Linked DNA regions of Arabidopsis thaliana. The protein of the gene in region 1 binds, or shares a complex with, the protein of each later gene. Each region holds a gene or a part of one and is shown on either strand. Other genes may lie near its edges.

Evidence for each region.
Region 2: CBL3 (region 1) and CIPK16 share a complex: the UniProt entries of both Arabidopsis thaliana proteins name them as parts of the K(+)-channel calcium-sensing kinase/phosphatase complex.
Region 3: CBL3 (region 1) and HAI2 share a complex: the UniProt entries of both Arabidopsis thaliana proteins name them as parts of the K(+)-channel calcium-sensing kinase/phosphatase complex.

The regions. Positions count from the first base shown.
Region 1 is NC_003075.7:13,406,460-13,414,671, reverse strand, and holds CBL3 (calcineurin B-like 3), read left to right. Parts: upstream 1-3,601; 5' UTR 3,602-4,048; intron 4,049-4,503; 5' UTR 4,504-4,560; intron 4,561-4,642; 5' UTR 4,643-4,673; coding exon 4,674-4,797; intron 4,798-4,962; coding exon 4,963-5,045; intron 5,046-5,170; coding exon 5,171-5,230; intron 5,231-5,304; coding exon 5,305-5,425; intron 5,426-5,545; coding exon 5,546-5,679; intron 5,680-5,796; coding exon 5,797-5,909; intron 5,910-6,006; coding exon 6,007-6,064; 3' UTR 6,065-6,250; downstream 6,251-8,212. Other genes in the region: OPT5 (oligopeptide transporter 5), read left to right, coding at 1-538; AT4G26580 (RING/U-box superfamily protein), read left to right, coding at 1,783-2,285, 2,373-2,730, 2,821-2,967; CBL7 (calcineurin B-like protein 7), read left to right, coding at 6,699-6,821, 6,892-6,939, 7,051-7,110, 7,186-7,294, 7,418-7,551, 7,666-7,778, 7,882-7,939. UniProt on the Arabidopsis thaliana protein: Acts as a calcium sensor. CBL proteins interact with CIPK serine-threonine protein kinases. Binds calcium ions. Binding of a CBL protein to the regulatory NAF domain of a CIPK protein lead to the activation of the kinase in a calcium-dependent manner.
Region 2 is NC_003071.7:10,667,975-10,675,543, reverse strand, and holds CIPK16 (CBL-interacting protein kinase 16), read left to right. Parts: upstream 1-2,651; 5' UTR 2,652-2,933; coding exon 2,934-3,634; intron 3,635-4,293; coding exon 4,294-5,002; 3' UTR 5,003-5,134; downstream 5,135-7,569. Other genes in the region: GPX1 (glutathione peroxidase 1), read right to left, coding at 5,716-5,745, 5,831-5,998, 6,071-6,189, 6,608-6,669, 6,764-6,840, 7,156-7,410. UniProt on the Arabidopsis thaliana protein: CIPK serine-threonine protein kinases interact with CBL proteins. Binding of a CBL protein to the regulatory NAF domain of CIPK protein lead to the activation of the kinase in a calcium-dependent manner.
Region 3 is NC_003070.9:2,278,311-2,285,181, reverse strand, and holds HAI2 (highly ABA-induced PP2C protein 2), read left to right. Parts: upstream 1-2,353; 5' UTR 2,354-2,525; coding exon 2,526-3,029; intron 3,030-3,122; coding exon 3,123-3,434; intron 3,435-3,518; coding exon 3,519-4,031; 3' UTR 4,032-4,436; downstream 4,437-6,871. Other genes in the region: SMO2-1 (sterol 4-alpha-methyl-oxidase 2-1), read right to left, coding at 5,149-5,221, 5,325-5,405, 5,504-5,716, 5,805-5,924, 6,065-6,210, 6,458-6,595. UniProt on the Arabidopsis thaliana protein: Involved in the negative regulation of the K(+) potassium channel AKT1 by its dephosphorylation, antagonistically to CIPK proteins (e.g. CIPK23). Functions as a positive regulator of abscisic acid-mediated cell signaling during seedling growth.

The DNA.
Region 1 (8,212 bases):
AGATATGCTCCCAAAGAGTAGTCCGTGGACTTGCCCTGGGGATGTAGTGTTCTACAACGCGTCGATCATTTGGGGAATCATCGGTCCTGGAAGGATGTTCACAAGTAAAGGTATATACCCCGGGATGAACTGGTTCTTCCTCATTGGCTTCCTTGCTCCTGTCCCGGTCTGGTTCTTTGCAAGGAAATTCCCGGAGAAGAAGTGGATACATCAGATTCATATTCCCTTGATCTTCTCAGGGGCTAATGTGATGCCAATGGCCAAGGCTGTGCATTACTGGTCGTGGTTCGCTGTTGGGATCGTGTTCAACTACTATATCTTCAGGAGGTACAAGGGATGGTGGGCAAGGCATAACTACATCCTCTCTGCAGCTCTTGATGCAGGCACTGCGGTTATGGGAGTGTTGATCTACTTTGCGTTACAGAACAATAACATAAGCTTACCAGATTGGTGGGGGAATGAGAACACAGACCATTGCCCTTTGGCAAATTGCCCAACAGAGAAAGGGATCGTCGCTAAGGGCTGCCCGGTGTTCTAAAACCTTGTTGCAGTTTAACATTATCTCTGTAGTTTCTCATACCTGCAGGTGAGGGACAGTTACTGCAAAGTCGTTTGGTGGCCATAATAATAATAATGCGTAAAGACTTTGTGAGAGTTTAAGTGATAAAGTAAAAAATGGTTTGCAAATTAAGAACACCCAAAGATGATAGCTCTAACACAAATTTCAATCAAAGAGAGTATAATTTCAGGACAAAGCAAAACAAGGCTAAAAGTTTCCATCTTTTTCTAATTGAATAACACTAAGATCTGTGAACAACTTCCGTTCCTGTCAATTTCAAGCAATCAAGAACCAAATTTGTCACCTTCTATTGAACTCAGGAAAACTCCTAAATTGTGCAATTTAACGTACATGTCAAACGTAATCAGATCCTAAGATTCATAGTTAGGTTTTTCAAACCTTCGAAGTCATCATGAGAGAGATCTCCAGAGGAGGCAGGAGATGGAGGACAAGCTTGATGTACTCATTATGGGAGAGCTCAAACTTGAGCTAGTAGAGCTACGCCATTATTTCCCAAGCTCACCTTTGTTTGACTCGATCACAAAACTCAGTGAGTCAGACTCAGTTCAACGACCCTCTAATTTGGATACCCGTTTACGCGGCCCAACCCGGCCCAATACTGGATTTTGAATTTTTTTATGTTTAATGATTTTCTTATAAATATTTGGCTTTGCGTAGAGGGAGAGAGGGAGAGAGGGAGGAGAGATGGCGTTGTCTAACCAAAAAAAAAACGAGAATAGATAAAGCAGCAGCGGTTGCTGTCGGAGTTTTGCTTCGAAGACAAAAAACTAAGGTTGTTAGGTTTTATAGGCCAACGGTTTATGTTCTCCTACTTCTCTGCTTCTTCTGCATTCTTCAATCCTAAGCAAAAATCCATTTGTGGACGTCACTATCAAACGGCCAACTTCACCTTCTCTGACAATATCACTACACCTTCCTTTCTTCTTCATCTCTTCTATCTTCACTATTTTTTTACCAAAATCTTCTCCATCTGCTGGGTTCACACCAAAACCTACACTTTTTGGTATGTTGCTCTGTTTCGCAGAGTGAAGATAAGGTATTTGATGAAAATGCCTCACTGATATATCCATCCATGTCTTTTTTTTTACATGTACTTTAATTGCATATTTTAAAGACTTTTCATGGCTTTTTAGCTCAAGCTTTACTCTGTTTCTCTTTGCTCTTGTTCAGGAGATCAAATCAAAGACCTCTCTGTTTCCGATATGAGTACCCGTTATTCCTCTCAGTTGCAATCATCAGCCATTAACTCCATCACTGTCTCCTCATCTTCTTCCTTCGCTTCCACGCAACTGGATGATAACACTCACACGGCTCCGGAGAGCTCTCCATCTTCTTCCTTCTTCATGAGACTTGCCATGAGGGTATCTAGAGCAAGGTGGTTCATTTTCTTGAGAAGAGTCTTTCATTACCAGAACGCCTCAAGATCCGATCTTGGCACCAATCCTTTCAATTCTATCGCTTGGATGGTATCAGAGCTCATCGCTTTACTTTTACAGATCACTGTGATAACATCCACACTAGCTTTGTCCAAAAACGAGAGGCCTGTTTGGCCGATGAGGTTATGGATCACTGGCTACAACGTTGGATGTCTGCTCAATCTTATGTTACTATACGGTCGGTATCGTCAGCAAGATACTAGCCATGAAAATGCATTTAGCTTCGGCGATATTGAGCAGCAACAAAGAAGCAGGGAAGAGACCACCAGGTTACTAACAAAAATCTAGTTTTTTCAAGTTTGATCATAAAATGCAAAGATTTCTAGGAAAATGACTTATTTTTGTGTGTGTTTTAGGTGCTCGCATTTGATGAACAAATGCCGGACATCGCTGGAGCTATTCTTTGCGATATGGTTTGTGATAGGTAATGTATGGGTTTTTGATTCTCGGTTTGGTTCTTTCCACTATGCTCCAATCCTTCATGTCCTCTGCATCTCCCTACTCGCTTGGAACGCTCTCTGTTACTCCTTCCCATTTCTTCTCTTCCTCCTGCTCTGTTGTGTTGTACCTCTCGTTAGTAGCTTCCTCGGCTACAACATGAACGTTGGATCTTCGGAAAAAGGAGCTTCAGATGACCAGATCTCCAGTCTCCCAAGTTGGAAATACAAACTCATTGATGAAACTTCTGATTCTTCTCAAGCAAACAATGATCCGGTAAGCACTAATTTGAATTCTGAAATAGGTCAAATAGTCAGAAATCAATCTTGATATCAAAACTGAAACCCACCGGTTTCATTATTGCAGGAATGTTGTATATGTTTGGCAAAGTACAAAGAGAAAGAAGAAGTGAGAAAGCTTCCATGTTCGCATAGGTTTCACCTCAAATGCGTAGATCAATGGCTTCGTATCATCTCGTGTTGTCCTCTTTGCAAACAAGATCTCCCTAACTGAAAAATCAAAACAATACATGAGTCACAAGATTGAATCTCTGACCAAGTACCATATATGTGTTTTTTTTTTTTTCTGTTGCCGCCTAAACACGTTTACTTGTGTGAATGTCGTTATCATTCCTTTTTTTTTCTTGTGTACAAAGTAGCTCACCAGTAACTGTAATTTTACCTAAAAAAAAAGTTAAAAAACATGATCAATCTGTTGTTTTACCAGTAGAGTTTGTCCCTCTCTTACCATTAATCAAAGTTTTAATTGTTGGTTAATGTAACTAAGCTTATACTGGTTTTTGCTATAATATTTTTTCCAAAGACAATTTAAACCGAATTCAAACCCAGAGACCAAATCAGACCAAAGCAACAGTCAGAATCCGAATAACATGACACGCCGTCGTATAGGAACGATTATTGAAACGATGGTGTTTAAGACAGCGCATAAATGGACACATGCTCCACTAGACGACGACGTGTGAAAGTGAATGTAACAAGGAGTTTTATTACAACTGTATCAACATCGAGTAAAAATAAACAAAATTATTTATTTTTTAAATTTAAAAAGTATAAAAACGCCAACAAACAAAAATAATTTGGTCTTTTTCTTAGCATATTTAAAATTTTGCAATATATTCATTCTGCTTATAGAAAATCGTGTCGACCTTTTTTCTCTCACTTACCCAATAAGAGCTTTTTTCGCGTTTTCCACCGCAACCACCGTCACCTTCAACCGCCGGAGCCGCCGCAAGGAAGGCTCATCATCCGCCGTGGCGTAAGGCTTTTTCTTCTTCTCTTTCTCCCTTTTCTACGATTTCGCGGTCGGTCGCTTCCTCGTAATCTCGTGTGTTTATTCCGGGAAAATCGCGATGGGAAACAAGTTAAAATTTGAGATTGAGAATCAAGCAACTAATTTCTTCGCAAGCTGATAGATCCATGAGCTGATTACCAAGTTTATATAACGAGATTCATCGTTGTTGTATCTCTGAATCCGAACGATTTGGAATCTAAAACTCATTGGATCGCTTTTTCTCATATCCGTCATTTCTCCTTAGCTTAATCACTTCTCTGATTCATATCGCGATTAGATTCAGGTGTCGATCCTCAGAGGATTATATTTTCTGACGATTAATCCGTCTGGATAGTTTTATTATGTTCTTCATGATGCATTTTTTTTCCCCGCAAAATTCATGATGCATTTCTGACGTGAAATTGGGTGTTTTTGATTCCTCATTTTATCCTAGTTCATGTATTTTTTGGGGCTGTTTCTTAGATTTGGGTTTCGTGTTTTAGCTTAAAGATAGTTCCTAATCCATGAATACATTGGTTAATCTGGAAATGAATCTGGAGTTAAGATTAATGCATAAAGTTTACGACCGTTTATAATATGCGTCTCCTCTGTTTGTGTTTCATAGTATCTGGTGCTTTAGTCTAATTCAGATCTGATCTGAGAATGATGAATCTTGTTTGCTCCTGTCAATTCTTCTTTAACTGTTTTGCAATTTGATGAGCTAATAACTGACTATATCTCATTTCCTTCCCATCGCAGAATTTTTTGAGGTGTACAAAGCATTGCCTATTTGACGAACCAGGAAATGGTTAAAAGGTACTTATCTTGTTCAAATGCATATGTCTTTAGATTCTTCCAAGTGGTTCGAAAGTTCTTACATTTTATTGTTATTTAACAGGCATGGAGAGTTTTGATTTACAAGATATATCATGTCGCAGTGCATAGACGGTTTCAAGCATGTATGCTCCTCTTTTTTCCGGTGTTTTGATATCGATATTTACAAACAATCTGGAGGCCTTGGTGACCCTGAACTTCTTGCGAGAGAGACAGTTTGTATGCTCTCAACTTCTTTTCCATCTTATTTTAACTTCCATGCACTTTTTTTTTCCAGTTATATGTATGATTCAAAGGCTTGCCATTACTCTAGTTGATGCTCTCTGTTAAGAGGAATGCAAATCTTTCTTTCTGTGTTTTGATCATTGACTCGTTTGGGTGCAGTTAGCGTGAGTGAAATAGAGGCTCTCTATGAGCTGTTTAAGAAAATCAGCAGTGCTGTGATTGATGATGGGCTAATAAACAAGGTATGAAGGAAGGGCATCATTATATGTCTTTTATGCCACTCACTTATACTCCTCACGAATCATGCATATTGCTACGTCTTTTGGACATCCTTTTCTGATTTTCCTTGACCTGTCTTGTCGTTCAGGAAGAATTTCAGTTAGCCTTGTTCAAGACAAATAAAAAAGAGAGCTTGTTTGCAGACCGGGTATGTTCTTCTTTTTTAATCAAAAGACTTTGTTATCCATTTGCCAAGATCCTTTTTGAAAGATAACTTGACAGTACCAATCACAGGTATTCGATTTGTTTGACACAAAGCATAATGGAATACTGGGGTTTGAGGAGTTTGCGCGTGCTCTCTCTGTCTTTCATCCAAATGCTCCCATAGAAGACAAGATTGACTGTACGTCTTTGATCTTACAAAGTTGATCTGAGAAACCATCTATACAATTTATCTGATGTTGACATGCTACATGTAACCCATGAAATATCACTAACAGTTACCGGGAACATTGTTTTGCAGTTTCGTTTCAGCTATATGATCTTAAGCAGCAAGGTTTCATAGAGAGGCAAGAGGTGAAGCAAATGGTGGTGGCTACTCTTGCTGAGTCCGGCATGAACCTGTCAGACGAAATCATAGAGAGTATAATCGACAAGGTGTGGTTCCTTCCTACCCTGCTCGATACTATATTCTTGTTCCACTGTTGTATAGCCAACTCATGATAGCAGTTGAGAATAAAGTAAAGAGTGGTTTCTAAGTTTCTTCTTTCACAGACATTTGAGGAAGCTGATACAAAACATGACGGGAGGATCGATAAGGAAGAGTGGAGAACCCTTGTTCTCAGGCATCCTTCCCTTCTAAAGAATATGACTCTCCAGTATCTTAAGTGAGTTCCTAAACCAAGACTTATCCGAGGTTTAGGCAATGCAACTTCCAATTTTTTCTGTGTTATTATTAACACCGATCTCTGATATTGTGTGCAGGGATATAACAACTACATTTCCGAGCTTTGTGTTCCACTCGCAGGTGGAAGATACCTGAGAAAAACAATAGCATATTAGCAGAGGAGACAATTTGGGAATTGTGTTTGTTTTCTGATTATGTATCATGTCTATTTGTTTCAATCTCTCTGAACATTTTCAAGATTTTGTTGTTACTTGTGTGAATTAAAAGTAAAGAAAACAAATCTGTATTTTTGCTACTCCTGATTTTGATTGCTGATTTTCTCCTCGCATCTGTAGATATACTACTAACCTTGAGACATGAATCCTATTAATAAAGAGCAAACTGATGAAGTGATAATAGAGAGCAAAAAAGAGAGAACCCAACACCAAATGATCGGGTATGCTCTAGTCTGAATTCTGAAGTCAAAATTGAAATCACCGATTTGATCGAACCGGATGCAACATTACAACAATCGGATTTGTTAGTCTTGTGGTTGACTTTGTCAGTTAGAGTTGACAAAGTAATTAGCAAAGTTAGTGACGATTGTGTTCTGCATAAACACGTTTACTTTGAGGAATAAATTACTTACTCTTTCGGTCTTTCCTAATATATATGTTTTCCCTGTCTCAAAGATCTGAATAGGTATCAGAGCGCGTTGACAATCTCTTTTTTTGATCATCGATTTGTTCTCTCTTTCTTGGCTAAAAAGTTTCTATCTACACGACTCTCCATGGATTCAACAAGAAATTCAGCTTCTTCCAACTCCACGGGATGCTTTACGGATCAGAAAAAGCGAAAGGCACTCTATGAGGTGTTTAAGAAACTCAGCGGTGTTGATTGCCAAAGAAACGAGGTTCGTATAAATTATATGTAACTTTCTTGCTAAGTACGCATATGATATAAATCTGTGTTTCTTCGTTCAGGGTAACGTTGTAGAAGGCGTAACGTGTTATTATGGTGAAATGAACAAGGTATTTGGAATTATATATAAATATATATGTCTTTCTTGCCACGCACTCCTTCTTTTCAACAAGTCTTACAGATTTTCCATAACGTGTCCTGTTGTATTTCTGTTGTATCAGGAACAGTTTCATGTAGCCATATTCCAGACTGACAAAAATGAGAGCTTGTTTTCAGAGAGGGTATTTTATTTTTGTTCTCAACAAAAAAAGTCTTTGTAATCCATTTGCAAACAATGACATTACCCTATCACACAGGTCTTCGATTTGTTCGACACAAATCATGATGGATTACTTGGGTTTGAGGAGTTTGCCCGAGCTCTCTCTGTCTTTCATCCATCTGCTCCTATAGATGATAAAATTGACCGTACGTCTCTGATCTCAAAAACTAGACCCGATATATTAACCATCTACAAACAAACTGTTCACATGCTACCTATATATATTCCATGAAAGCTTATTAACGGTTACCTGGAACATTATTTGGCAGTTTCGTTTCAGCTATATGATCTTAAGCAGCAAGGTTTTATCGAAAGGCAGGGGGTGAAACAACTGGTGGTGGCTACTCTTGCTGCGTCCGGCATGAGCCAGTCAGACGAAATCGTAGAGAGTATAATCGACAAGGTGTGTTTTCCTTCCTTCTATTTTTTGGTTCGACTCTAGTCTATAGTATAGCCAACTAAGTTTAAGCAGCTGATGAATATGAAGTGAAGAGTGATTTTTGAGTTTATGAGGCAGACATTTGTGCAAGCTGACACAAAACATGAAGGGATGATCGATGAGGAAGAGTGGATGGACCTAGTTTTTAGACATCCTCTTCTTCTGAAGAACATGACTCTCCAGTATCTCAAGTGAGCTCCTAAACCAAAGACTAACCCGAGGTTTAGCCAATGCAACTTCAAATTTTTCTGCATCACGTATTATTAACACCATGATATCTGATATTGTGTGCAGGGATATCACAACTACATTTCCGAGCTTTGTGTTACACTCGCAAGTGGAAGATACCTGAGAAAAACAATAGCATATTAGCAGAGGAGACTGTTTGGGAATTGTGTTTGTTTTCTGATTATGTATCATGTTTATTTGTTTTCAATCTCTCTCAACATTTTCAAGATTTTGTTGTTCCTTTGTGTGGAAAAAAAACAAATCCGTTGATGATTTTCTCCTCGCATCTGTAGATCTACTACTAATCTTGAGACATGTAAAAGCAAACTGCTAGAGCATTGAAAGGGCAAACTGCTAGAAAAAAAAGAGAGAAGAACTCAACACCAATGATCGGCTA
Region 2 (7,569 bases), on another chromosome or scaffold:
CTTTTAGTTTTAACTTGGGTAAGTGAGTCGTTGGACTAAAAATCACGATGATTATGTGGTCAAATATGTGTATCTTGGTGTATATTTGTATTTTCTGTGATTAAGATGATTGCATCTTTAAGACATATTTGTAGCTTTAATTGAAGTCAATACTGATATTTCTGAAGAGATTGGGAAATTTGGAAGACATGGAATATTGGTGAACTTTGTTTCTGACTTTAATGATTTCAGAGTTGTTGGTTCCAGCTTTATTAGTTCGCTTCATTTCATATATTCAAAAAAAAAAAAAAACTTTCCTTTCTCATCAAATCTATTGATAGTTCTAAAATAAAACGCAAAATCAAACACATTTGTACATCATTTTAATAAAGAATGTTCAAATGAGAGTAATGTGTATTATATTGTAACATGGAAATGCAATTCTAAACGCAAACGACAAACTCTGATCGAAGAAATGTGTTAATTGATTAGGGAATTGTCACGGAGATATATGTAGGAAATCAAAATTGTTAACGAAGTGTCTTTCAAAATATATCTTCACAAATACACAGTTCGTAAATGCGTAATTATTTTTAATCTAACAGTTCGTTCTGTCACATGGATCTTTCAGACCAGTACAGTCGTCCTTTGCAAAGATTTATCAACTTTCTAACAAAAAGAGAAGCTACAGAAAGTAGAGAAAATTTTGTACTTTTGAAGTAAAGAAAAAAAAAAGAAGTAGACAAAATTGTGTAGGATTCTTCACGGTTTTTGCATTCTTCTTTATTACCAAGTCTTCAATATTTTCATTTCAATAAAACTTCCCCTTTCTTACAAAGAACTCTTATTTTCCATTTTTCTTCACATTTTTCCTTGCAAGATCACTCATTTTAATTTATGTAAATGATAGAATTTGAAGATCCATACTTCAGCAATCTGTTTTTCTTGGCATGTTGAGTTTTTATCAACAACACCAATTATTATTTTATTTTCTCTGGTTCAAGAAATTGTCTAAGCTCCATTCAAACATTCTGTACTTATATATAAAGTTTACATCATCACATATTGTGCATCAAATAGCAAAGGTTTTGGCAACATACATATAATATGAATCGTGCTTGTACACACACACACACTCATGTATATATATGTATTTATTGTTTACCCTTGAACAACATTTTTAGGTAAGGGGGTCTTCTATCATCAGGAAAACATAAGGTAGATGAGGTAACATCTTTAGATTCGTTCGAAGTAGAACTCCTATGCATTTGATCAAATTGTTTTCTAATTAAGTAATGCAACATTTAAACCATGTGCAGCACAAACGATGGCTTATTTAGGTGGATTTGCAAATCTTTTCACTCTTTAGGGCATATTCCAATCAACTACTGCTTGAAATTTGACTGATCAATGTGATGCAAAATTCACGGCATGGCTTGTTTTAGCAGCTAGTTTCGACAACCTAATCACCCGAAAATAACAAACAATCGGAAATGCAGCGCGATAAGTAGATATATGTCTGTGATCACCCAATTAGCCACAAAATAGTGTACTATGTTTGTGATGTTACCCTTTTACTCTTCAATTTTAAATACATATCTCGTTATAGTATTTTTTTTTTTTTTTTTTTTTTTTTTTTTGGGTAAAACTCGTTATAGTATTTCGTTAGAGTATTAACATTTGTGTAAACATAATTGTTGTCATTAATCGTGGGTCCAAATCATGACACATCACAAAGTTTCTTGGACTTGTTATACATGTTCCTTAAAATGATTAGTTATATATTATCTTAATAATCCTGATCTTTAAATCGAACAAATTTAGATTTAGCTTCTTTTTTTTTTGTTAAAATTTAGATTTAGCTTTACAAGATGTACCTTTGATTATGATAGAGGAAAATAACAGTATCCCACCCAAATACACGGTTATAATGAGATTTTCATGTATGTAGAAAAATCATCAAATTGTAAGAAAACAATTGGAAAAATTGAGTGTGTTGTTTTGAGTAGCAAAATATGAAGAATCCATCAAACCAAGAAATTAGCAAAGATGTAGAAAGGAAGATTTGGTCGATAGATTCACGGACGTATTAGAAATGACCACTTTCCGATACAATCGTCCCAACTAGGAAAAGAGTCAAAGCTTTTCGAAAGAAATTAAAAATTCCTCTATGAAAAATAAGTCAAGAAATTGTTTTAAAAATATTTAAGGGCCAAGTAGAAAAGGTCACATCTTGCCTTACCAAAAAAAGACAGTTCATTGAAATTTTATCGGGACAAGTTTACTATTTTTAATTAATGCGTATCTACTTCAAAACATGCGTAGCATTAACGGCGATTCCACGTCAATTTCATGGCGTCCACAATTTTTGTATAAGGATAAGAGAGTTACTTTTATATTTTTAAAATCTATTCTGAAAACTTTAAGAACTTATTTACATGAATACATGGTCAGAAATGTGCGAGACCATTGTTTAACTGGTTAAAAAAAGGATTTATTTACATAGAAATGGATTTAAATCACCTGTTACACTTTTATTGAAATCATTCTCTTATGATCATTGCATCGTAACTCGAGATATTTATTTTTCATGCTTTAGTTTGTTAATTATATCTAGTTTTATCATGTTCTATAACCCTTTTTTAGGCACTCAACATAAATAGCAAACCCCGATTTAGTTCAATTCGCGAATCAATTTCGTCTTGGTTATTCTTTTGGCTTTGGTCGTATTTAATTATGCTAGCTGCCAGATCTTAGGCACATCACTTTGTTTAGATAAGATTAGAACATTTCTTCACAGTTCACTTAGTCGTCACATATCAAACAAAGTAGACAACATTATAAATAAAAAAATTCCACAAATAATTTCTGCTTATATATATAGATATGTAACCAAATCACAAAATTCCACATAATTAGTCTCACATATACTTGTAACTAGTCAGACAAAGACAATGGAAGAATCAAACCGTAGTAGTACTGTCTTGTTCGACAAATACAACATCGGAAGACTTCTCGGAACCGGTAACTTCGCCAAAGTGTATCACGGAACAGAGATCTCCACCGGCGATGACGTGGCAATCAAAGTCATCAAAAAAGACCACGTTTTCAAACGTCGTGGCATGATGGAGCAAATCGAACGAGAGATCGCCGTCATGCGTCTCCTCCGTCATCCAAACGTGGTCGAGCTCCGCGAAGTAATGGCTACAAAGAAGAAGATTTTCTTCGTCATGGAGTACGTCAACGGCGGAGAGCTTTTCGAAATGATCGATAGAGATGGGAAGCTCCCGGAGGATCTAGCCAGAAAGTATTTCCAACAATTGATATCCGCGGTGGATTTTTGCCACAGCCGCGGTGTTTTCCACCGCGATATTAAACCCGAGAATCTGTTGCTTGACGGAGAAGGTGATCTTAAGGTAACGGATTTCGGACTTTCCGCATTGATGATGCCAGAAGGGCTAGGTGGCAGGCGTGGTAGCAGCGATGATCTTTTACATACGCGGTGCGGGACACCGGCTTACGTGGCGCCGGAGGTTTTACGGAATAAAGGATACGACGGAGCTATGGCTGATATTTGGTCGTGCGGGATTGTTTTGTATGCACTCCTTGCTGGCTTCTTGCCGTTTATCGACGAAAACGTCATGACATTGTACACGTAAGTATTTCTTGACCAGGTTTTGGCCCAAACCGTATTTGTTTTTGTTATTTATTTGACGAATAGTGAGATACAAAAAAATATTGAACTAAAAGCCAAAGTAGTCCATTTTGAGTTGGGTTTCTAGATGCATCTCAATTTTACATCACATACTTATATATGTTAAAAAGAAATAATAATCATTTTTGGTTAAATAAAATATTATTTGAAAGAGACAGTTTAACTTGTACCAATAGATACAAAACTTGGATATAAGATATACTATTTGAAAGTTTACACACACAAAAAGAAAAGATATATAGTATTTGAATTATTTGTTCACGTAATTCAAATTTTAATAATTACTCAAAATTATACAATATTTTCCAAGATATTGAAACTATTATCAATTTGTGAATATTCGGGTGGTATTTTAGGTACATTAATCTGATATCAAATTCGATAAATGTTGGTCGATCGTATATTTCATTATAGTTCTATATTATCAAAATTTCACGTCCCGTATTTTACTAGATAATTTATAAAACTCCCGCCAATAATAACGGTCTCAAATAGTGCTCTTCTTACAAATTCAAATATTAGTATTGTTGAATGTGAATGTGAATTGATCAAATTCTCATTGTTGTTTCTTGTTTGATTGAACCTTTCGAAATAAACAGGAAGATCTTCAAGGCGGAATGCGAGTTCCCACCGTGGTTTTCCTTAGAATCCAAGGAACTACTCTCAAGATTGCTTGTGCCGGATCCTGAACAAAGAATTTCAATGTCAGAGATCAAAATGATTCCATGGTTCCGAAAGAACTTTACACCATCAGTAGCCTTTTCGATAGACGAAACGATCCCATCTCCACCGGAGCCACCAACAAAGAAAAAGAAGAAAGACCTAAACGAGAAAGAAGACGACGGAGCTTCACCAAGATCCTTCAACGCCTTCCAATTCATCACATCAATGTCTTCAGGTTTCGATCTCTCTAACCTATTCGAGATAAAACGAAAGCCAAAGCGGATGTTCACATCGAAGTTCCCGGCGAAATCTGTTAAAGAGAGGCTGGAGACGGCGGCGCGTGAGATGGATATGAGAGTGAAACATGTAAAAGACTGCAAGATGAAGCTGCAAAGAAGAACAGAAGGTCGTAAAGGAAGGCTCTCGGTGACGGCGGAAGTATTCGAAGTCGCTCCTGAAGTCTCTGTCGTGGAGTTCTGCAAAACCTCGGGGGATACGTTGGAGTATTACCTCTTCTGTGAGGATGACGTCAGACCAGCTCTTAAAGACATTGTATGGTCATGGCAAGGTGATGATGATGAAGACGATGTTACCACTAATGATAATGTTGACACAAATGATAACAAAATAAATAATGTTTCATGAGCTGTAATAATTCACTTTTTGGAATTGGATGTGCGAGGCGAGACTGTCTTATTGTGAAATTGCAAATGTATAAGAACATTTTTTTTATGATTAACAATAAAAATTACTTGGAGGGTTTGTACAATTGTCAAAAACTATTGAAGCAAAATTGGTTATATATGTTATGAACGTTCTATAGGTCATTAGTTCGAGTCTACTTCTCATTTTTTTTTTTTTTCAAGTGTTCAAAGCGAAGTAGTTTTGTTAATCTATATACAAACTTATACGGTTTACAAAATCTATACACGTTCAAGGGTTATATTGCGGATTACTTTTCAAATTCAATAAAATAATGTATATAAGATTAAGTAGGGCGGACTCACGTTGGTGCACCCACTAAACTATAAATATTTGAATTTTTACATAAGGAACTGTAACTAATCTAGTTTAATAAACACTTTGAAATGTAAGAGGTGAAGGGTTCAATGCTTTTTTTTGTAATATCATCTCCATCGTTGTTGATTGGATGTGCGCGAGCGAGATTGTCTTATTGTATATATAACACCATTTTTATAATATAATGTATATAACATTACCATTATACGCAAATTATTAAGCGATTAGTACAACTTAGAATGTAAGAAGGTATACAAGCAATAACCGGAAACTTTATGTCACAATTTACGGTTACTTTAACCATCAGTCTCTATATGCTCACTCATGAGCAAAAGTTTTTAAGCGGCAAGCAACTTCTGGATGTCTTTCTGCAAAACAGAAACAAAACGGTTTGGTTACAAACCGGGAATAGAACCGCTATGAACCAAATAGGAAGTAGTCCATTAGCCATACCTCGATTTGGAAAGGGGATGTGGTGGGAGGGTACCTCTCAACGACCTTTCCCTTTTTATCAATCAAGAACTTCTCAAAGTTCCATTTAATGAGACCACCCAAGAATCCTCCTGCGTTTGATTTCAAGAACTCGTAGATCGGCGCTGTGCTTGGTCCATTCACGTCAACCTGTCGAATTCAAACTTATTTAGAATCTGCAACCTGAAAATAAGAAGAATGAATGTTTTGGATTCTTTATACCTTATCAAATATAGGGAACTCTGCTTTAAACCGGGTGCAAGCGAATTGTTTGATCTCGGAGTTTGACCCGGGCTCTTGGAAACCAAACTGATTGCAGGGAAAAGCTAGAATCTCAAATCCTGTAATCCAAACAACAAGCTAGTATTACTAACTACAAATGCATGAGAAATACACGTTCATTGGCTTATTGCCTCCTAAATGATTAATGAACAGATCCGTACTTTCGAGAAAATTCTTTTAGCTACAGAGAACGGATGAGTGAGATTATCATCAATCAAACAAAGATGCTGAATTTGCTTGCAGTTCAACGTTACAGAACAATTTTATTTCCATAAATTAAAGTGAACTACGAGCTAGTAACATCGCTGTAGAAGAAGCAACAATAGAACCAAATCATATTGACACCACAATAATATAAAGATCTACAGAACAATTAAGTGAACACCAAAACACGAGGAATTTTCAGTAAGTAACCAAAATACCCACTGGTTGCAAACCGGAATAGATCACAATATGAGAGAACTAATTAGAACTCACCTTGAGTTTTGTATTTCTCGTACAGATGTGAAAGCTCTGAGTAATTTGATGATGTCAAACCACTGTATGTTCATAAAACACACAATCTTTAAGATTAGAAACCTCTACATGAACTGTCATCAAACACATCAAGAGGATGAAGAAGGAGAAGCTTACCATCTTGAAGCAACATTGACAATCAACATAACTTTCCCCTTGAATTTGTTCAAAGCAACATCCTTCCCATCAATGTCCTGCCTCCATAAAAATAACAATCTAATTATGTCTCTAATTGAAATCACTAACCTAAGTATAAATATACACCTTTTTTCAAAAAAAAAAAGTATAAATATACACTACGAAATTCAATAAAAATATGAATCTAAGTATGTATCAAGTTGAAATCACCATACACTTATGTCTCAAATTTCAGATTTTTATGTATGTCTCAATTGAAATCACTATGAACTTCATTGCAAAGTTGAAGATTCCCAATTTACTAAAGAGCAGATAGAATTTAGAGAACCCTAGTTTTTGGTCTGAATTGGGTAAAAGAATAAGAACCAAACCTTAACGGTGAAATCGTGAACGGTTTTTTCTGCAGCAGCTCTAGCTTGGACAGTGAAAGGACGAGACTTGAAGAGAAACCCAGGATTAATTGGAGATTTTAGAGAAAACCCATTACTCAGATTCGCGAAATTCGATATTCCGGTGGAGAATTTCAAGGAAGGGACGAGAAAGGTTGCTGAGGAATTAGGTCTAGAACTGTTGACGACTGTAGAGAATGTTCCGTACGAAGAAGATGAAGTAGTCATGGAAACCATTTTTGGTTACCGGAGACGAGTTTATGTTCGTCTTCTTTCGACCAGTGTTACACGTTCAATAGTGAAACCGAGAGATGATATAGTCGAGACACGACGCACTTTATATCATGCCAAAATACACATTAACTAAAAAAACAAAAAAAACTAAATTTTTGGACC
Region 3 (6,871 bases), on another chromosome or scaffold:
CTCCATTTCCATTTTAATGAGATTTGATCAGTAACACTCATCACAAATATCTTATTTTAGTTTCTGATGAGCGATGATGGTCTTATTCACACAATGCTATTTACTTTTTCCCAAACTCATTTTTTTCCTTATTGCTAGATCATGAGCAAAACTATTGATTCATGATTGTAGTAGCACTTAAGTGTTGCGAAACCAAATTAAAGATGAAAAAAAAATTGTAGGTGGTACATCAATTAATGTTTGCTTTTAATAGGGTGGATGTAATTAATGAAGTACTGATTTTCCATGAAGAAGACAAGCCAAATGAGAGCTTGAGATCTTGAAAACAACCAATAGAAGAGTACTGCCTATACATGACATGAGCATGATAAAATGTTTTTGTTTAAAGTACGGAATTTGATGATCAAATTTTTTGTTGTTGATCAAAACGTAGAAACACAAACTATATATCGATCGCCCCCGTGAGTAGTACGTATTATTATTTCAAAAGTAAATGATTTTGCAGACTTGCAGTTATTCATTTATAAGCGAAACGTTATCTTATGCAATGTTTACATTTGCAACACCAATTAGCTTCTTTTTTTTACAGTTGAGACTTGAGAGACACATTAAAGCTTGTCATCGTTCACTGGAGAGAGTAGAGTGTGTGAGAGACAAAGTGACCTAACTTCACTGCAACAGTAGTCGGTAAATATCCAAACATAAGAGCTACGATGGTAACACGTGTACGGTGGAGGAAAAGAGAGCCCTCAGATTCCGTTATAAAGGAGGTGAGACCCACTCGCCGGAATGGAAACAAAGGAGAAACGTAGAGGTAAATGGTTGGGCCACTGCTTCACCAAAAAGCCTTTTCTATCTTCTTTTTATTTTTGTTTTGTGGCTTTTAACGGTTAACAATATAACTCCTCATTCCAAGACAATTACGTGTCCTCTGTACGGCTTTTTCATTTTTCACTTTCTACTTCATAGTGACTTTAGGGAGGCCTCAATTTTTAATTACTCGAGGATTATTTAGGTAATCATGAATGTAACTACAGCTTTACAGGTAATTAAACAGATGAGATTTAGTTGCGTGAAATCTAGCTGATCTGGTGCTTATATCAAATCCAATTGATGGAGACAGATTTGGACTTAAATTCATGATTGTATTTGTAATCTTATATACGTTATAGTTAAATTTCTTTCTCTCCGTACGTACTCTAACTATAATTATTATTAAATGCTGAACGCAATGCTTTTGAGTGCTGAGAATCTTTTTGGTCTGATTCAAAAATGATGTATTAGTACTCTGAATTCAATCTTAACTTCTGCAACGAATCAATGTATTAATTTATAGGAGATCCGGATAAAATTATGGATATATGCACGCTACTTCTTTCATTTTTAATTAGGTAAATGGTTATAACTTTATTTTATATATCAATTAAATGATTTTGGTATGAGATTACTAGTACACTTTCTTTGCAAATGTTTTAAACACGACAAGACAAAAATATTACAAGCATATTTTGGTAAAAAATATCATAAGCTTTCATATCAAAATCATTAGTTATGATGTTAGATTTTTTTTTTTTTTTTTTAACACTACAAAAAGCTCTGGTCTTAATATGTTAGAAATTTTAGTCCAAACCAGCCTACAGAGGATTTAGCTAAACAATTCCCAAGCACCTTTTAAGTGTTAACCGAAATAACGTAATATGATGTTAAAGGTTACATAAAAACAAAACTAAAGAATTTTCATATGAAAAGTTAACGTACGTGTCTTAGTGTAACCTAATTTTAGTTCACAGTATATAAATTCTTTAATGAGATGATCGCAAAATCGCTGTATACAATTTCGTACTTAATTCGTTAGTCTTGAAAAGTTGACCTAATTTAGATCAAATTAAGGTTAACTACAATAAAAATTTAACTAACGTAATGGGATTCTTTAAAATTAAAAAATCGTTGATTAGATAGATATTTTATCTTTAAGGGAGACACAGAGACAATTTGGACAAAAAAGGTCTTCCTGAGAAAGAAGTGGACCACAATCGTGGCGCGAAAGGAACTTCCTCCTCCCCTCTGTTGCCTTGTCATTGGGCCACGTATATCTCCACCTGATCGTGATGCTTACGTGGTCCATTTCTAGATACTATAGTGACCAGATCAACGGTCAAGATTGATTCTAATTTAGACGAAAGACCAACACGTCACGTCGCTAGAGTAAAAGATTTTTTGAAGGCGGAGGGAGAAAAATCAAAAGTTAAAAGTAATTTGAAAACGAGGAAGAGAAAAAGGAATTTTAAAATGTTTAATGAAGCGGTAGGCCGCATGGGTATATAAATGGGCACGCTTTGTAACGTGTAACGATGATATTTATTCAACTGCGTGGTATAACCAAAAAAAAAAGAAACACTATTCGACTCTTTTTTTGTTTTTGTAATAAACATAAAATAAATTTTGGAGAGAGATATTTCGTCGGAAATTAATTGACGTTCAAAAGATTCGTTACCGGAATATTTAGTAGAGGCGGCGATCGAGTTATGGCGGATATTTGTTATGAAGACGAGACGTCGGCTTGTGAATCAAGACCGTTGTGGTCTAGCCGGAAGTGGAGGATCGGTGTCCAGCGATTCAGGATGTCTCCGTCGGAGATGAATCCCACGGCGTCGACGACGGAGGAGGAGGATAAATCTGAAGGGATTTATAATAAGCGAAATAAACAAGAAGAGTACGATTTTATGAACTGTGCATCGTCGTCACCTTCTCAAAGCTCTCCTGAAGAAGAGAGTGTATCACTTGAAGACAGTGACGTCTCTATCTCCGATGGAAATTCATCGGTTAATGATGTTGCAGTTATTCCGTCGAAGAAGACGGTTAAAGAGACGGATCTGAGGCCGAGATACGGCGTCGCATCGGTGTGCGGGAGAAGAAGAGATATGGAAGATGCGGTTGCGTTACATCCGTCTTTTGTACGGAAACAAACGGAGTTTTCTCGAACAAGATGGCACTATTTTGGTGTTTACGACGGCCATGGCTGTTCTCACGTACGACGCCGTTTTACCCTAATTTGAAAATTTCAAAATTATTGATATATTTACGGTTTTGCCTGATTGAAATATACGATGTCGTTTTTGTAGGTTGCGGCTAGGTGTAAAGAGAGACTTCACGAGTTAGTGCAAGAAGAAGCGTTGTCGGATAAGAAAGAAGAATGGAAGAAGATGATGGAGCGTAGCTTCACACGTATGGACAAAGAGGTTGTTCGTTGGGGTGAAACTGTGATGAGTGCTAATTGTAGGTGTGAGCTTCAAACGCCGGACTGTGACGCTGTTGGATCCACCGCCGTTGTCTCCGTCATTACGCCGGAGAAGATCATTGTTGCGAATTGCGGTGACTCAAGAGCAGTTCTTTGTAGGAATGGTAAAGCAGTACCTCTTTCTACAGATCATAAGGTCAGTCTTTATCTCTTTCTAACTCTTTCTTGATTTGTTTGATTTAGTGGATTTTAACTCTTGTTTACGTTTGAAAATGAACAGCCTGATCGTCCGGATGAGCTGGATCGAATCCAAGAAGCAGGAGGACGAGTGATATACTGGGACGGTGCAAGAGTCTTAGGCGTTTTAGCCATGTCACGAGCCATAGGAGACAATTATTTAAAACCGTACGTCACTTCGGAGCCGGAAGTGACGGTTACGGATCGGACTGAGGAAGATGAGTTTCTGATTCTAGCGACGGACGGGCTATGGGACGTAGTGACGAACGAGGCAGCGTGTACGATGGTGCGCATGTGTCTCAACAGAAAAAGTGGTCGTGGAAGACGGCGAGGAGAAACACAGACTCCGGGGAGGAGGAGTGAAGAAGAAGGGAAAGAAGAAGAGGAGAAGGTGGTGGGGTCAAGAAAGAACGGGAAGAGAGGAGAGATCACGGACAAAGCATGTACGGAGGCGTCAGTATTGCTGACGAAGCTGGCGTTGGCAAAACACAGTAGTGACAACGTAAGCGTCGTCGTTATTGATCTCAGAAGAAGAAGAAAGAGACACGTTGCTTGACACTAATCTCCTCATCACTCTTACTCCACCGTTTTTTGTGTTGTTTAAAATGATTCTTTTACCTTGGGACGAAGGTAGCTCAAATCTTTGAACCCAAAAGAGAGAAAAAAAAAGCATTAGGTCTAAAAAAAAAACCCCGGTTTACTGAAAGCGGTTAAACCGGGTATGGTTGGGTCTTTTTTGTTCTGAACCTTTTTTTCTTGCCTTTTTTCGGTGTGTAATGAACAAACAGAAAAGGAAGCCGGAATGTGTCACTGTCTAGGTGGAATCAGTTCAGAATTCAATTAATAAAAAAGTATGTATATGTTTTCTTGGCTTTTAAAGCAAACCAATTAACTCGGATACGCGTGGTGATCTTTGAGAACATCACCGGGAATTTTCAGTTTGTTGATAAAGATTTTAAAATCTCTATAAACGAGTGGGCCTTTTTGGTGTTGGAAGAAATTCAAAATCTCACGGAAACGAAAAGAGAGAGAAGATAATTGGGAAGAGGACGGAGTACGTGTCGAAGAGGTAAAAGTAGAAACCCTACACCACGTAAAGAGGATGTGACACACCGGAACGATGCATATGTTAATATGCGCATTCGTACGTGTCGGTGTCGGTGTCGGGTAATTGATTGAGATCTGAATATGAACCTAATCAGACTGTTTTATCTAAACATGATCACTGGTCTGATGGAAAATCAAAATTAACTTACCTGTCATGTAATGTAAGAATTTTATTAAGAAGGAAAATCGAACCAACACTCCCAAAGCATTTGGGCCGAGAATTTTGGGGTATTATATTTTCATCTGAATCCTATAAGGCTATAACCTACCCAAAAATTTGGTAGCGCAACATCTAAACTTGATACAGAAAAATGAGACAAGGATATATTAAGCTTCAAATAGATGACCCATACAAAATGTTTTAATTGCCCAACCTAAACACATACTGAGTTGAAGTACCATATGTTTTTTCAAATAGGCCACACGAGCAGCAATTCTAGTCAGACATAATAAACTAAGACACATGAGCGTTGCAGCAACCTGAAAGCAAAATGTTAAAGAAAAGGAGAGGTTGCAGAATAAGACCTCTCTAAGACAAATGTACTCTGCAATCCAAAGTGGCAATTTCACGTTTGTTTCATGTCACCGTTTTCTTTAAGGGTCTTCAGTCTTCTGTACCCCTTGTCAGTACCAAAGATCCTGAAGAACACCAGAGACGAATTATACACTGGATATTAATATCAGGACAACTAAAGATCTGTTCTGGAAAGCGAAGAGATATTAAACAAGTTCAGAGGTTCACCAGTCCATATACACAAAAGTTGAAGAGTAGTTTCCGGACTTTGTGTATAGCAGTCGGTGATGGTAGTCATGGAAGTCAGCACTGTAACCAAATCACAAAAATAATAATAGTAAAATCTATTAATACAAATGTCTTATGGTTTTAAGTTTCAAAAGAGCTGGCTAGATGTGTGATCTTACCCTCCATACAGAGGAAGAAAATTTGAGAGGCTCCATGGGAAATGATAACCACAATGTGCCTCAACTGTCTCCAGCACTCTCAACACCATCCATAACCAGAGAGTAATTAGGTGAGGGCCAGTAAGAGCTGGACCGACTATGGTAGCAAAACCCAGAAATAGAATCTCAGCGGGGTGAGCATATTCTGATGTCAAACCAAATGGTGTGGCATATCTGTGATATCATGAAATGGTTGCTTTTCAGAAACTCACAGTTTCAAGTATCAAGACTGAAAAAAAAAATGGTGAACATTGAAACTTACTCATGATGCACACTATGCACGTTCTTGTACAGCCATTTTGAATGCAAGATCCGATGACCCCAATAGAAGACAAAATCCTCAATGATAAAGTAGAATAATATCTGGGCAGACACTTCTTTCCTGCAGGACCATCACCAAAGAGGGTCTTATATACCTGATCAAACATGAGCTCAGGTTCTTTCATGATGCTCAACACTGACATCTTTTGATTATGTTTTTCTTTCTTTTTATTGCCAAATGGACGAGTTTAAGATCAATACCAGGACGGCAGAGGAAAACTGCTTCGCATTCCCATGGCTCGGAAGACAGGGTAGGAGGCCAACATCAGGGGCAAGTTTACGGAGAAATGATAAAGCAACAGGCGAGTAATACATTTTCCTTGGGCTGCAGGTGTGTTATTTTTTGTCTGCATAGGGACAAAAGAAAAGTATGTGTTGACCATAAAGGGTAAGAGAAGCATAGAAAAGGGTCATATTCACAATTATTAGTAATCGCTGAAATGGACATCAGCCTGTCATAAGAAAACACTTTTCACGTGAGACTGAATTCTTGGGGATCAACCTCTAGACTATCATATTCAAACCATCACACAAAGCTATGATTGCATACATAGAAGACACTTGTAAAAGATAAATAATAAGAAGAGAATAAACCTGAATTTTGTACTTGCTGAGAAAGCCTTGCCTTTCAAGAAAAATGAAAGGGAGTCCAGATAAGAAAAACACGCTTTCATGGAGGAGAAAACTCCCAATACATGCCAGTTGAAAGTCGCTAAAATGTGTCACAAGGTACTGCATCAACCACATAAAATGATCAGCTCCAGATACAAAATTTCCGTGCTGAATGAGAACTCATGATAGACAATACGCACAAAACACCAAGGAAAGGAAACAAATACTATCATTAAGTAAAAACTAGTTTCAGTGATCCAAGTTAAGGACACAAGACACCCAAAATGCACACTAAGTATAAGAAACAGACTCGAAAACAATACATAACAGTAATCAGAACGGCGTTTTATCGATTTTGGTAACCGATCATTGGAAAGTCCGTAAGCTAAACCGATT